Linked DNA regions of Notamacropus eugenii. The protein of the gene in region 2 purifies or fractionates together with the protein of the main gene of each other region. This does not show direct contact. Links are inferred from orthologs where the notes say so. Each region holds a gene or a part of one and is shown on either strand. Other genes may lie near its edges. The genes, in order: NAPA, SCFD1 and NSF.

What was found.
Region 1: the proteins of SCFD1 (region 2) and NAPA purify together in Homo sapiens (affinity purification with mass spectrometry; 3 studies listed by BioGRID and IntAct, with this or other methods). This does not show direct contact. The link is inferred for Notamacropus eugenii from reciprocal best matches to the Homo sapiens genes SCFD1 and NAPA.
Region 3: the proteins of SCFD1 (region 2) and NSF purify together in Homo sapiens (affinity purification with mass spectrometry; 3 studies listed by BioGRID and IntAct, with this or other methods). This does not show direct contact. The link is inferred for Notamacropus eugenii from reciprocal best matches to the Homo sapiens genes SCFD1 and NSF.

The regions. Positions count from the first base shown.
Region 1 is NC_092876.1:29,451,371-29,455,370, reverse strand, and holds the start of NAPA (alpha-soluble NSF attachment protein), read left to right. Parts: upstream 1-1,650; 5' UTR 1,651-1,871; coding exon 1,872-1,969; intron 1,970-4,000. Other genes in the region: uncharacterized protein, read right to left, coding at 662-1,396. UniProt on the Homo sapiens protein: Required for vesicular transport between the endoplasmic reticulum and the Golgi apparatus. Together with GNA12 promotes CDH5 localization to plasma membrane.
Region 2 is NC_092878.1:47,288,856-47,292,855, reverse strand, and holds the start of SCFD1 (sec1 family domain-containing protein 1), read right to left. Parts: upstream 2,666-4,000; 5' UTR 2,588-2,665; coding exon 2,530-2,587; intron 1-2,529. UniProt on the Homo sapiens protein: Plays a role in SNARE-pin assembly and Golgi-to-ER retrograde transport via its interaction with COG4. Involved in vesicular transport between the endoplasmic reticulum and the Golgi.
Region 3 is NC_092873.1:347,525,764-347,529,763, reverse strand, and holds the start of NSF (vesicle-fusing ATPase), read right to left. Parts: upstream 2,583-4,000; 5' UTR 2,285-2,582; coding exon 2,273-2,284; intron 1-2,272.

The DNA.
Region 1 (4,000 bases), on a different chromosome or scaffold from region 2:
TTTGTTGAACCCTTGGCAGAGATACCAGAGTAGTTTGCTATTTCCTTTCCCATGGCCACAGATAAACAGGGTCAAGTCACTTGCCCAGGGTCACACAGCTAGAAAGTATCTGAGGCCAGATTTGAATGAACTCAGGTCCTCCCGATTGCGATTGCGGTGCTCTAGCCATTGTGCCCCCCCAAGTTATCAGTATAGAGATGGTAATTAAATCCATGGGAGGGAATGAGGTCACCAGGTGAAGTAGCACAAGGGGAGAAGGGAAGACAGCCCAGGCAGGAACGCGGGGGTCAGAGGGCACGATGTGAAGGAGGATCCAGCAAAGGAGAAAGAGGGATCAAGAAAGGGAGGGACAGGAGGAGAGTGCTCTGCAGGGCCAAGGGCTGCAGAGGTCAAGGAGAATGAGGACTGAGGAAAGGCCACTGGATCGGAGATCATCAGTAACTTGGACAGCGCGGTGTTGGCATGATCAAGTCTGAGGCCGCGCTGTCGGGCTCTAAGAGGACAAAGTGGGGCCCCAGGATGGCATGTTTGTGGGCGCAGGGAATCATCCCCTAGAGAGGAAGGGATGAAATGGGATCAGCCTCGTGGGGAGGGCAGTGATGGAGGAGGGGGCAGGAGGACCTGCGTGATGCCGGTGAGGAAGAGGGAACTCACCGTAGCTTCAGCCTTCCCGGAGAGGAGGAGGTAAGGCTCTCGAGCTTGGGGCGGGCCGAGACATCAGGGATGGAGGGGGGGCGGGCCGGCAGCACCCACCGAGGGCCCAGCTCGCGTCAGAGGAGCTGCGGGATTTCCTCCACCTCCCTTCAGCAGCCCGGGGCAGCCGCTGAGCAGAGGACGCCTGGGACAGGCAGTGGGCACAGAGCCTCCCTGGAGGCGCCGGGCAGTGTCGGAGGAGGAGGTCAGCCTGGGCCGAGGCGGGAGGAGGCGGTCGCTGGCTCTTTCTGTCTCCTGATCCGTCACGTGAGGGAGCAGTCCCTCGGTCCGTCTCCGGAGCCCAGGTTCCCAGGAGGGCAGGAGCCCCGTGCCTGGGGCGGGCCGGGAGGGGGCCGGGCTCCCCTTCTTCCTGGTGACGCCGGAGCGGAGTGGGGAGCTCGGCCGGAGAGCCCCGCCTTCGTGCCCTGGGACACTCCGGCCAGCGCAGAGAGGGCCACGTGGGGCCAGTCCTCCGCAGTCGCTTTCTGCCCTTGGCGACGGCGCACTCAGAAAGCAGCTGCTCGGCTCTCCGCATGCGCCCTGTGGCCCCCTGGGACCTGGGTCTTTCACCTTCATTCCCTGGTTTGGTCAACAGAGGGAGAAGACCCAGTAAACAGGCCCAGCAGCCTGAGCATGCGCCTTTGCGTGGTGTTCCAGCGGCCGCGCAGGCGCATTTCATTGTTTCCTCGGCCCACCTCGACATGCCATGACAGCGCCTATCAAAGACGCACGCTTACCCTCCCCTAGCGCACGCGCAATGGGTGGAAAATCCTTCCTACCCCTTTTCTTCGGGTAACCACAACATCCGGGGCAAGGGGGGCGGGCGGGAGGCGAGGCATCGGGATGGGAGGGGTGAAAGTTAGGAAGTTGTCACCTGATGCTAGGTATCTTGAGTCACGTGCTGCAAGACCGACGGGAGGCAGGTCTGGCGAGAGGACGGCGGGCAGGGATTGGCGCACAGGAGTCACGCGGCTCTACGAGGCTGGAGGTGGAGAAAGGGGGTGTGCGTTGGGGCGGGGCCCACCGGCTCGAGGGGTCGGTGATTGGCCAATGCGGATCACGTGCCTCGCGTCTGCCGCCGTCCTCCGTCGTCGTCGGTCGTCTTAGCCCTCCTCTGTTGTGGTTTCCCGGCTCTGCCCTGCCCCTGTGCCCCCCGAGACTCCGGCCGCTTCCCCGCCATGGACAACTCCGGCAAGGAGGCAGAGGCGCTGGCTCTGCTGGCCGAGGCCGAGCGCAAGGTCAAGAACTCGCAGTCCTTCTTCTCCGGCCTCTTCGGGTGAGAGCGGCCGGCCGGGGGGCGGGCCAGGGAGGGGGCGGGGAATGAGGGGACCCGGCCTGGGACTGGGGGGGTTGGGGAATGAGGGGACCCGGCCTGGGACTGGGGGGCGGGGAATGAGGGGACCCGGCCTGAGACTGGGGGGGTTGGGGAATGAGGGGACCCGGCCTGGGACTGGGGGGGTTGGGGAATGAGGGGACCCGGCCTGGGACTGGGGGGCGGGGAATGAGGGGACCCGGCCTGGGACTGGGGGGCGGGGAATGAGGGGACCCGGCCTGGGACTGGGGGGCGGGGAATGAGGGGACCCGGCCTGGGACTGGGGGGGTTGGGGAATGAGGGGACCCGGCCTGGGACTGGGGGGCGGGGAATGAGGGGACCCGGCCTGAGACTGGGGGGGTTGGGGAATGAGGGGACCCGGCCTGGGACTGGGGGGGTTGGGGAATGAGGGGACCCGGCCTGGGACTTGGGGGGTTGGGGAATGAGGGGACCCGGCCTGAGACTGGGGGGGTTGGGGAATGAGGGGACCCGGCCTGGGACTGGGGGGCGGGGAATGAGGGGACCCGGCCTGAGACTGGGGGGGTTGGGGAATGAGGGGACCCGGCCTGGGACTGGGGGGGTTGGGGAATGAGGGGACCCGGCCTGGGACTTGGGGGGTTGGGGAATGAGGGGACCCGGCCTGAGACTGGGGGGGTTGGGGAATGAGGGGACCCGGCCTGGGACTGGGGGGCGGGGAATGAGGGGACCCGGCCTGGGACTGGGAGTGGGGTGTGTGAGGAGGGGCCCTGGGAGGGTGATGAGGGCCCCGGGGAAGGGAGTCTTTGGCTAGTGGAAAAGGGTCAGCCCCGGGGATGAAGCCAGACAGCTGCTGCTGGGGGGGAAAGGGTTTGGAGCCTGATGGTCTCTGTTCCCATCCAGGCTCTCCCATTTACTAGCTGTGTGACTGTAGGCAGGCCCTGTGACTTCTGTGGGCCTCAGTTTCCTCACCTGTAAAATGAGAGGATCCTGCGGGCAGTAAATATTTGATGCCTTGGAGAGTTTAAGGAGGGGAACGTAGGACTGAAGAATGTGAGGAGGGGATATTGGGGTACCAGGCAACTAAAAACTAAGGAAGTGGAGGGATGGAGAGTAGGGAGAGAGGGGGAGGGTGTGTGTGGTGGGCATGGAGAATTGAGAAGGGAAATAACTTGATTGTTTGTGCCTTTAATTTCTTTCCACTTCTCTTTTCTCCCTCGTGAATTCCTTGAAAGCAAGAAATGTGTCGCTTTTAATCTTTGTAGTTCAGGGAACTTCCAGAACAATTGTTCATAATAAACTTTGGTTGCCTTGATTTGAAAGAGGTAAGGAATATGGTCTAAAGCAGGGATGGAGAACTGTGGCCTCGAGGCCACATGTGACCTCCGAGTCCTCAAGTGCAGCCCCTTGGCTCAATCCAAACTTTATAGAATAAATCCCCTTATTAAAAGGATTTGTTCTGTAAAACTTGGAGAAGGTCAAAAAGCCATACCCAAGGACCGAGAAGGCCACATGTGGCCTTGGGGAACAGCTTGCTGGCGGGCACAAAGAAAAAAGACTTGGAAGAAAAACTGAGGAAGAGGGGCTAGAAAGTATAGAAAGCTGTATTAAGAAGGCCTGCAGTATTGGAAGACCCTGGAATGGGGGCACTAGATCTGGAAGAAAAAGTGGGGAGGAGAATATTCAGATACTTGGACATGGGAAACAGTGAGAGCCGAGAACTGGAAGTGGAGAGAAGCTGGGGAGTGGGGAAGTGAGTGTTGACAGTTACGTGTCTGGAATTCCCAACTCCCTGCATTGGACAGGGATTTGTTTTCCCACTTATTCCCAAGAGAAAAAGTTAAAGTTTAACTTAAGGGGAGGGTCACGGTGAGACAGTTCCTTGGAGGATTTCGTTTACCTTTTGCTTGGAGTGTTGAGGCCTTGTAGCCTGAAATGTGATTTGAGGTCTCAGTTTGATAGGTCCTGCCTGAATACCAGTCCTGTGGTCAGCCCTGCTTGTGCCAGCCTGTACTGGGG
Region 2 (4,000 bases):
CTAGTTTCAGGCCATGCAATATCTCAAAAAGGCTTTTGAAAATCAACTAAGAGAAGTAAAGGAAAAATTGAGAAGTGATACAAGAAAATCATGAAAAATGAGTCAACAATTTGCTAAAGGAGATCCCCAAAAATACCAAAGAAAGTAACACTTTAAAAAAAAATTGACTAGGCCCAACGGCAAAAGAGGTTCAAACAGCCAATGAGGAGAAGAATGCCTTAAAAAACAGAATTGGCTAAATGGAAAAGGAGGATCAAAAGCTCACTGAAGAATATAATTCCTTAAAAATTAGAATGGAGCAAATGGAAGCTAATGACTCTATGAGAAATCAAGAAATTACAAATCAAAACCAAAAGAATAAAAAAATAGAAGACAATGTGAAATATCTCATTAGAAAAACAACTGGCCTGGAAAAATAGATCCAGGAAAGATAATTTTAAAATTATTGGACTATCTGAAAGCCACGATCAAAAAAGAGCTTAGATATTATCTTTCAAGAAATTATCAAGGAAAACTGCCCTTTTATGCTAGAAACAGAAAGTAAAAGAGAAACTGAAAGCATTCACTGATCACCTCCTGAAAGAGATCCCAAAATGAAAACTCCCAGGAATATTATAGCCCAATTCCAGAGTTCCCAAGTCAAGGAGAAAACACTGCAAGCAGCCAGAAACAATTCAAGTATCATGGAACCACAATCGGAATAACACAAGATTTAGCAGCTTCCACATTAAGGGATCAGAAGGCTTGGAATATGAAATTCCAGAGGTCAAAGTAGCTAAGATTAAAACCAAGAATCATCTACTCAGCAAAACTAAGCATAAGCCATGGGGGAGAAATGGACAATTAACAACAGGAAGTGAATGTTGAAAACTAAAAATAAATTTTTAAAAAGGAAAAAACAAGAGAAAAAAATACATCTTCAAACTTCAGCAAAATCTTTTAACAGGGAACTACGGAAACAGCAAAGAACTGGAAGGGAACTTAGGAAGTCAAATATCTTTATAGACGGGGAAACTGAGGCCCAGAATGAAAGTGTATTTAACCTAAGGTTACACAATAAGTGACTAAGCTAGAATTGAAAGCCAAGTCTCTGGCCTCTGATTCATAATCCAGAAGTTCTTTCTACCACAGCAAGATGTGTTTCCTGCGTGAAGCTCATTAGAGGAGACAACCAAATCTGACTCCAGCTGTGAGCAGGAGATGGTAAAAAGAAGAGGCAATTTTATCAATTACTAGGACGCTCCATCATGGTCCCCTAAAGCCCTCGGCACAATTTTCCTGAGAAAGGGCTTTGCAAAATGCGTTTGGAAGACAGCAAAGTTCAAAGCAAAGTCTCAGGCGCAGTCTGGAGGGGTTACTAAAAATGGCTGGACAGTTCTAGCATTTGGTAATAATGGATATATGTGTATATGTGTGTGTATATAGATATATATGTGTGTGTGTGCATGTATGTATGCATACATATATACACACTCATACATATATATGTGCATATACATATATATCCAGCAGTTGGTAAAATGGACTTTAGAATGCAAAAGTGAGGATAAAATTATAGATCTGAGACTCAGCAGCAGAGACAGGGTGAAACTGAAAAGGGAGAAGCTAAGCTTATCAAGAGAGCAGAGAGAAGGGAGTCCAAAACAAATCCCTGGGGTTACATTTTTCAATCTCATGTCTCCCACATCCTCCATAACGCTACTGTTCTCTGGCTAGACTGTCTACTCACTGTACTTAAAACATAGGATAGGGTTTGCTGAGTGAATAATAAAAACTTCACACATCTGGTAGTATATTAGAAAGAACACTAAATTTGAAGTCTAAGAATCTAGGAATTAATCCTAATTTTGCTACTCCTATTAATGAAACTTTGGCAAGTCTTTTACACCCTGTGATCCAAAGACCAGATTACTCGTTAAAAAGTAGGAGGAAGGACGCACGAAAGGGCAACAGATGCCAGAAACCACCAGCGTCTTCAGTGCACCCGCGGGAGGTCAGGTAAGTTGGTGAACCAAGGCCATCAGCAGGCCCACCTGATCCTGGAAACACGCCCCTGGGTGTAACGCCCACGTAGGTCCACCAGCCGGCCAAACCCCCCGAGGGCGTGGGAGGTGGGAGCCCCCGCCACTGAGCACCTCCGGCAGCGACCCAAGCAGCGGCGGCAGCAGCGTGCCCCCCACGGACAAGCGCCCCTGCCCGACCCCAGGACGCCCGTCCCCCTGAGCGGGCGGATGAATCCGTGCACCGGGGGACCCCTGGGGACTCCTCCCGGCTCCGGGAGGCCCCGCCAGGGCGCAGAGGGGAAGCCGGGTGGCGGCCGCCCGCAGGCTGGGAAGGTGAGCGCCGGGGGCCCGAGTCCGGAGGGGTGAGGCGCGGAGCGGAGCGGGCCCGGGGCAGGAGCCGGGGCTGCCCGAGCCGAGCCGAGCCCGCTCCCGCCGCCCCCGCGGTGGCAGGGCCAGGCCGGCACAGCCCGGCCCAGGGCGGGGGGGAGGAGGAGGAGCAGTGCGGGGGCACGAAGCGAGCGGGTACCTGTCTGCCTCTCTCGGATGCTGGCTGCAGCCGCGGCCGCCATCTTGACTCCCACCATTCACCGCCGGCCCGAAGCCCGGAGCGGCAGGATGACGTGGCTGCCCCAACGCCCCCGGAAGGAAAGGGGGCGGGAAGCGGCGCGGCCGAGGACACGTGGCCCGCCGGCCCCGCCTCCTCTGCGTCATGGGGTCACGTGGCTCCGGGCCCGCGCTGCGCGCGCCGAGATTTTTAAAATCCCCGGATGGGGCCGTGCTGCAGGGTGGGAAGCGGGTCGCTCGGGGAGGGGGGGGCTGTCACGTGTGTGGCAGGTGATCCCACGAGTTAATCGTCGGCCTTTTGGCCTTTTCCCCTTCGGTCGTGGAGACTCCAGACGGTGCTAAAGCAGACCCATCCTTGTGGGAAAGTGGGGGAGGGGAAGGATGCCTCGAGAAAAAGGTGCGTGAATTTATTTAACTATTATTTTACAAATCACCCCAAATCAGTTTTCAGTTTGAATCCTTAGAGTTTATTGCACTTCAAAAAATGGGTACATATGACAGTTCATCTCCCGTAATCAATGGATCAACACTGACGTACTGCTCAATCAGTTCTGAAGCTTCACCAGAGTTGGCAGTGTACATTTTAAATGGCTATTTACACACCTAAAACTTACAATAAAATTATGGCCGCTATTCAAATGTAGCCATCCTTTTTTCCTACCGGCAGCTGTTTTTATTTTCCACACCCACGGTTGAGTGAAATCACAAAACGCTCCTGGTTACCTGTCCTAGAAATGACCCAATACTGAAGAAAAATGACGCTCCAAAATGCTTGCTAGTCCTACTCTAAGTAATCTTTTAAGTGGCCTGAACGTATTCACTGATATTTTAATCTGCCCGCCAGAGATGGAAAACTGAACAGCCCACACAAAGGTCACGCGTGAACGTGTAACACCCTTTGACCATTCTGCGGACCCCCACTGGGAATGTGAGTCTGCTCCTGCCCACCCGCCCCTCTCACTTGGGCTGTGTAACAGAAACATGCGCAAAAGGACACCTTTACAGGCCGTAAAATACAGACAGACAGACAGGCTGAATACTGTACCACGATAAGAAACAGAATTATGAGATTAAAGGTAATAATAAAGCATGCACAGTGCTGTACAGTAAGGTTAACAGGTTCGCCCTTCCCCCATCCACTGAACCCAGCCTTTCCCTTTTTTCAGTGAAGCTATCTAAATGTTGGGACAGTTGCTCTCCTTTCTCCCTTAAATATACATAATGATAGCAAGCAATTTAATCCTCAGCTTGCCTTGGAACTTGTAAAAATCTTGAGGTATTTGGATCTGTCTTTTCAATACAAGAAAAATTCACTCCAGTGATGAAATGCTTGGGAATCTTTTTGGTCTGATCTGGGGTTTCCCAGCTTCCTTTTCTTTTTCCGCAATCTTTGCAGCTAACCACTCAATCAGATCATAACTCAGTCAGCTCCT
Region 3 (4,000 bases), on a different chromosome or scaffold from region 2:
AACCAGAGAAACTAAAAGGAAGAGATAAGGTAGGAGTGTGTTCCAGGGATGGGGGCAGCCAGCTCACAGGTGGGAAATAGGGTATTTTATTCAAGGAACAGCAAAGAGGGCAGTGTCACTGGATTCAAGAACCTATAAAGTCAAACTAATCCTGCATCTTTTTAAATAGGTTTGTTTACTAGACAAGTGGATCAGGAATATACCATAAACAGTTTTTTTCAATTTCAGTAAAAATATTTCATGAGATCATGAATTTAGACTTGTAATGGCCCCGAGGTCATCTATCCTAACCTCTTCATTTTATAGATGAGAAAACTGAGGCCCAGTAAGGTTAGGTGACTTGCCCAAGGTCACACAAGTAACCAGGACTTTTCCCATTTAACCACATGATAACCCTCCGAATAAAATGGAGAAATGTGAGCTGTAAAATCAACATATTCAAAGAGTGTTGACTAATGGCAACACTGTTACCAATGAAGTAAATAAAAATATAAGATGTGCTTATCAAATCTGTGGACAATACAGGGAGAAAAGCTAAAATGCCATATCTCCAAATCAAAATGAAAAAAATAACAGAACTGAACCAACACTATCAGATTTAATGGGTATACTATTGATTACAGGGACCATGTATTTTTTCTTTTTTGTCTCTTCCATAAGACTAAATTTTTTGATTGAATGTAAAATCCTGCACGAACTCAGGATGTGAGAAATTTGGTTTAACAGTTCATGTAAATAAGACCAAAGGGTAAAATAGTTCAGCAGGAACACAATGTAAGCGAATGTGACATAATCATAAAAATACCTAATGTAAACAGAGTGCAGTATTAAAATATAATGCCCAGTTTAAGGGTGATAACAAATTCCACTGTACTCTGCACGGAAGACACAATATCCAGGGTCTTGTGTTCAGTACCACAGCCACACACCTGAAGAAGAACAATGACAAAATGGAAATGACATACAGAAGAATAACCAGGTTTATGAAATATTTAGGAATTACATCAATTTGGAAAGTTTGAAATAAATGGCAATGCTTTAACATCTACAAGAAAAGGAGACATGGTCATTTTCTTCAAACGTTTGATGAACTCTCTTGTAGAAAAGGGATTAATATTTATTCTGTGAGACTCCAAAGGACATAAGTAGGGCAAAAGGGTCAAAGCTACAGCCATGCAGGTTGGTAATTTTCAGATTAATATAAATTAGAACGTCCTAACAAAGTCTGAAATGCTCAACAATGAATGGCAGAAGCTACTTTGTTACCTAATGAGTTTCCCTTTCATCGACAATGTTTCACTAGCGCCTGAATGAACATCTAAGAGATTGTTAGAGACATTACTGCATGAGCACAAGAATTCTACGTGACCTCTGAGGAGCCTTCCGATTCTAAGATTCTATGACCTGTACTTCTGGGGTGAGGCACATATATATGCCACACAGGTACATTCTAGTCATTGGTATATAATCCATTCCAATGGCTTAGCACAAGTAGCAACTCAGAAAAGCCCCTCTAAGTCCCTAATGACGAAGTTAATATTGCCCAGGTCTGCAGCAGGTGCAAGATGCACCATCGCCTCTGGGTTCTGCTACAGACTGTACTGCAGTACAGCCGCTCAGCACATAACCCAGCCGCATCCTCACCCAGCCCTTCCCACATTTACTCTGAGATAGGCTAAAGGAGGAAGTAGGAAGAAAAAGCCCCAAGCAGGGCAATGCACTAAGGCATTCCGAGCAGGGTCATTCATTAAGACAAAACACCTCCCCTCCCCCCTCGAACCCCGCTAAGTGAGATTCTGCACCAGCATCTTTCTGCCCCGCAAGGATAGTGACAGGTCACCCCCGCACAACCACGGCTCGAACACTGAGTCATTCTACCCTCTATCACCACCCCCACCTCACTCTCACACACACTCTGGCTCACACCGGCCCTGACAGGATGGGCAGCTCAGCGGGGTGGACAGGGGAAGCAAGGGGCACCGGCCGCTGCCCGGCTGGCCAGCAAGGGGGCTGCCGGAGCCCGGAGCGCAGCGCGGGGGGAGGGGGTTCTGCCGCCTCGGACCTCCCGAGGGGCGCCAGCCCCTTCCTCCTCACAATCGCTCCTCCAGCCCACGCTCCTTTCCCTGACTTTACCTGTAACCACCTCCTCCCCATGCCCCCCTCAATTTCTACCCGACCCTTGCCCCCCGGGGACGACAAGCCTTACGCAGAGAGAGGGATACCCGGAGCCCAGAGCCTGCCTCGACTGCCCCGCTCCCGGACCCTCACTCACCCGGCCCGCCATCTTAACCGACAAGTACGGCTCCCCAGCTGCAGCTTCGCCCGCCGCTAAGCACGCCCCCGCCGCGCAGCCGCAGAGCCGCAGAGACGCGGACGCGCGTGCGGCCACCCTGTCCCGTCGCCTCCGGCGCTCTCCCCTCCGCGGCACCGCTGAGGCCACACGCTCGGGAGCGCGCGCCGCCGCGGCTCGGGCTCGCGCTCACTGTGCCACGCGAGCGCCCCTCCCGAGCCTGGAGAGCTGGTGGTAGCGCTCCTCCTCCTCCACCTCCCTGCGGGCTGCAGCTCGGAAAATGCGCAGCTGCGGGAGGACCGCGGAGGAGGGCGGGGGAGGGGCTTCATGTCGTCATTTTGAATTGGAATCTGGAAGCTTCCTCGCCTTTGGACTGGGTCAGGCCCTTGTACCTCCCATGTGATGTCACTCCTCTAAACATAGAATGGCAGAGTTGGAAGGGTGTGGACCTCGGGTCCATCCAAATCCTGACTCCTAACTCGCTTTCTGTCCCCAAGTCCGCATGGATGAATTGGATTGCTACCAGAGGGTAGGCTTGTAAATGTTTAACAACCGGCTTTCTTTTTCAAATGTACCCAAGATACACCTTTAAGTTCAGTCTGTATTATTAACATTTTCTTCATCACTTTCTTAAATCTAGACAATCATCAAAACAATCAATCAAGCCCTGACTGGTGGCCAGAGCCAGTGGTCATTGGTTCCAGCTCGGTCCGGCGCTATTAACCTCCACCGGCCCTGTTTAACTTTTCTTTGTGCCGTCATGGAGTGGGGAGCCGGACAGGAAGATCGTGGTTCCAAGTCCTGCCTGACACCCAGGGGAAGTTTAGCTTAGAAGTTACAGAGAAGGTGCCCACCTGCATTTGTAGACAATGTTTCCTTTACCAGTGAAGTCACGGGTGTCATTGTATCCTCAACCCGATCAATCATGCTGTCCATAAGCAGTAAGGACCTGCCCCCTGCCAGGCACCCTGCAGAGTGCTGGCCCTGATCTCAGGCAAGCTCGTCGCTGGAACTGTGATTTCTGAAGATCCTTGACTTCATTGTGTGGTCACTTCACCCACACCTAAGTAGATGTCCCTTAAGAGCTGCTGCAGTAAAGACAAATTGTCACTCGGTGGCCATCCTCCTGGGGAGGAGCCAGGCGCTACCGACGATGTTGTTTGGTGGTCCTACTCAAAGCCTCATCTACAGAGCTGCCGCTAATCTCTCTCTCCTCAATTTATGTTTTTACTCAGACCCTTGTAAAATGTTAATTAGCTCCACTAAGGCAGGGACTGTTTCCATTTTCTTTGTATCCTCAGTGCCTTGCATATAATAAGTGTTTCATAGATACTTTTTTAATGAAGTTGAATTTTTGACACTATAGGACCTACTTTGTTCTCATTCACCCTCAGTATCCTCACTGTAAAATAGAAGTAAGAATATTTACATCATCTGTCTTGGGTTGTTATATTTCGGTCCTTCATTGGATCCATGATTTGTCTTTATGAGTAGTCCCTCTACCTGTGCAGATAGCAACTTATCCACACTTTCTTATTGAGTATGACTCTTGTTCATGTGCTCACGTCAATCCTTCATAAAGGATTTGCCTAGCATGTCCATAACATTCCATTAGACCATAGGATCATAGATTTAGACCTGGAAGGGACCTCAGGGCGGTCTAGTGCAATACACATTTTACAAAGGAGGAAACTGACATCCAGAAAAGTC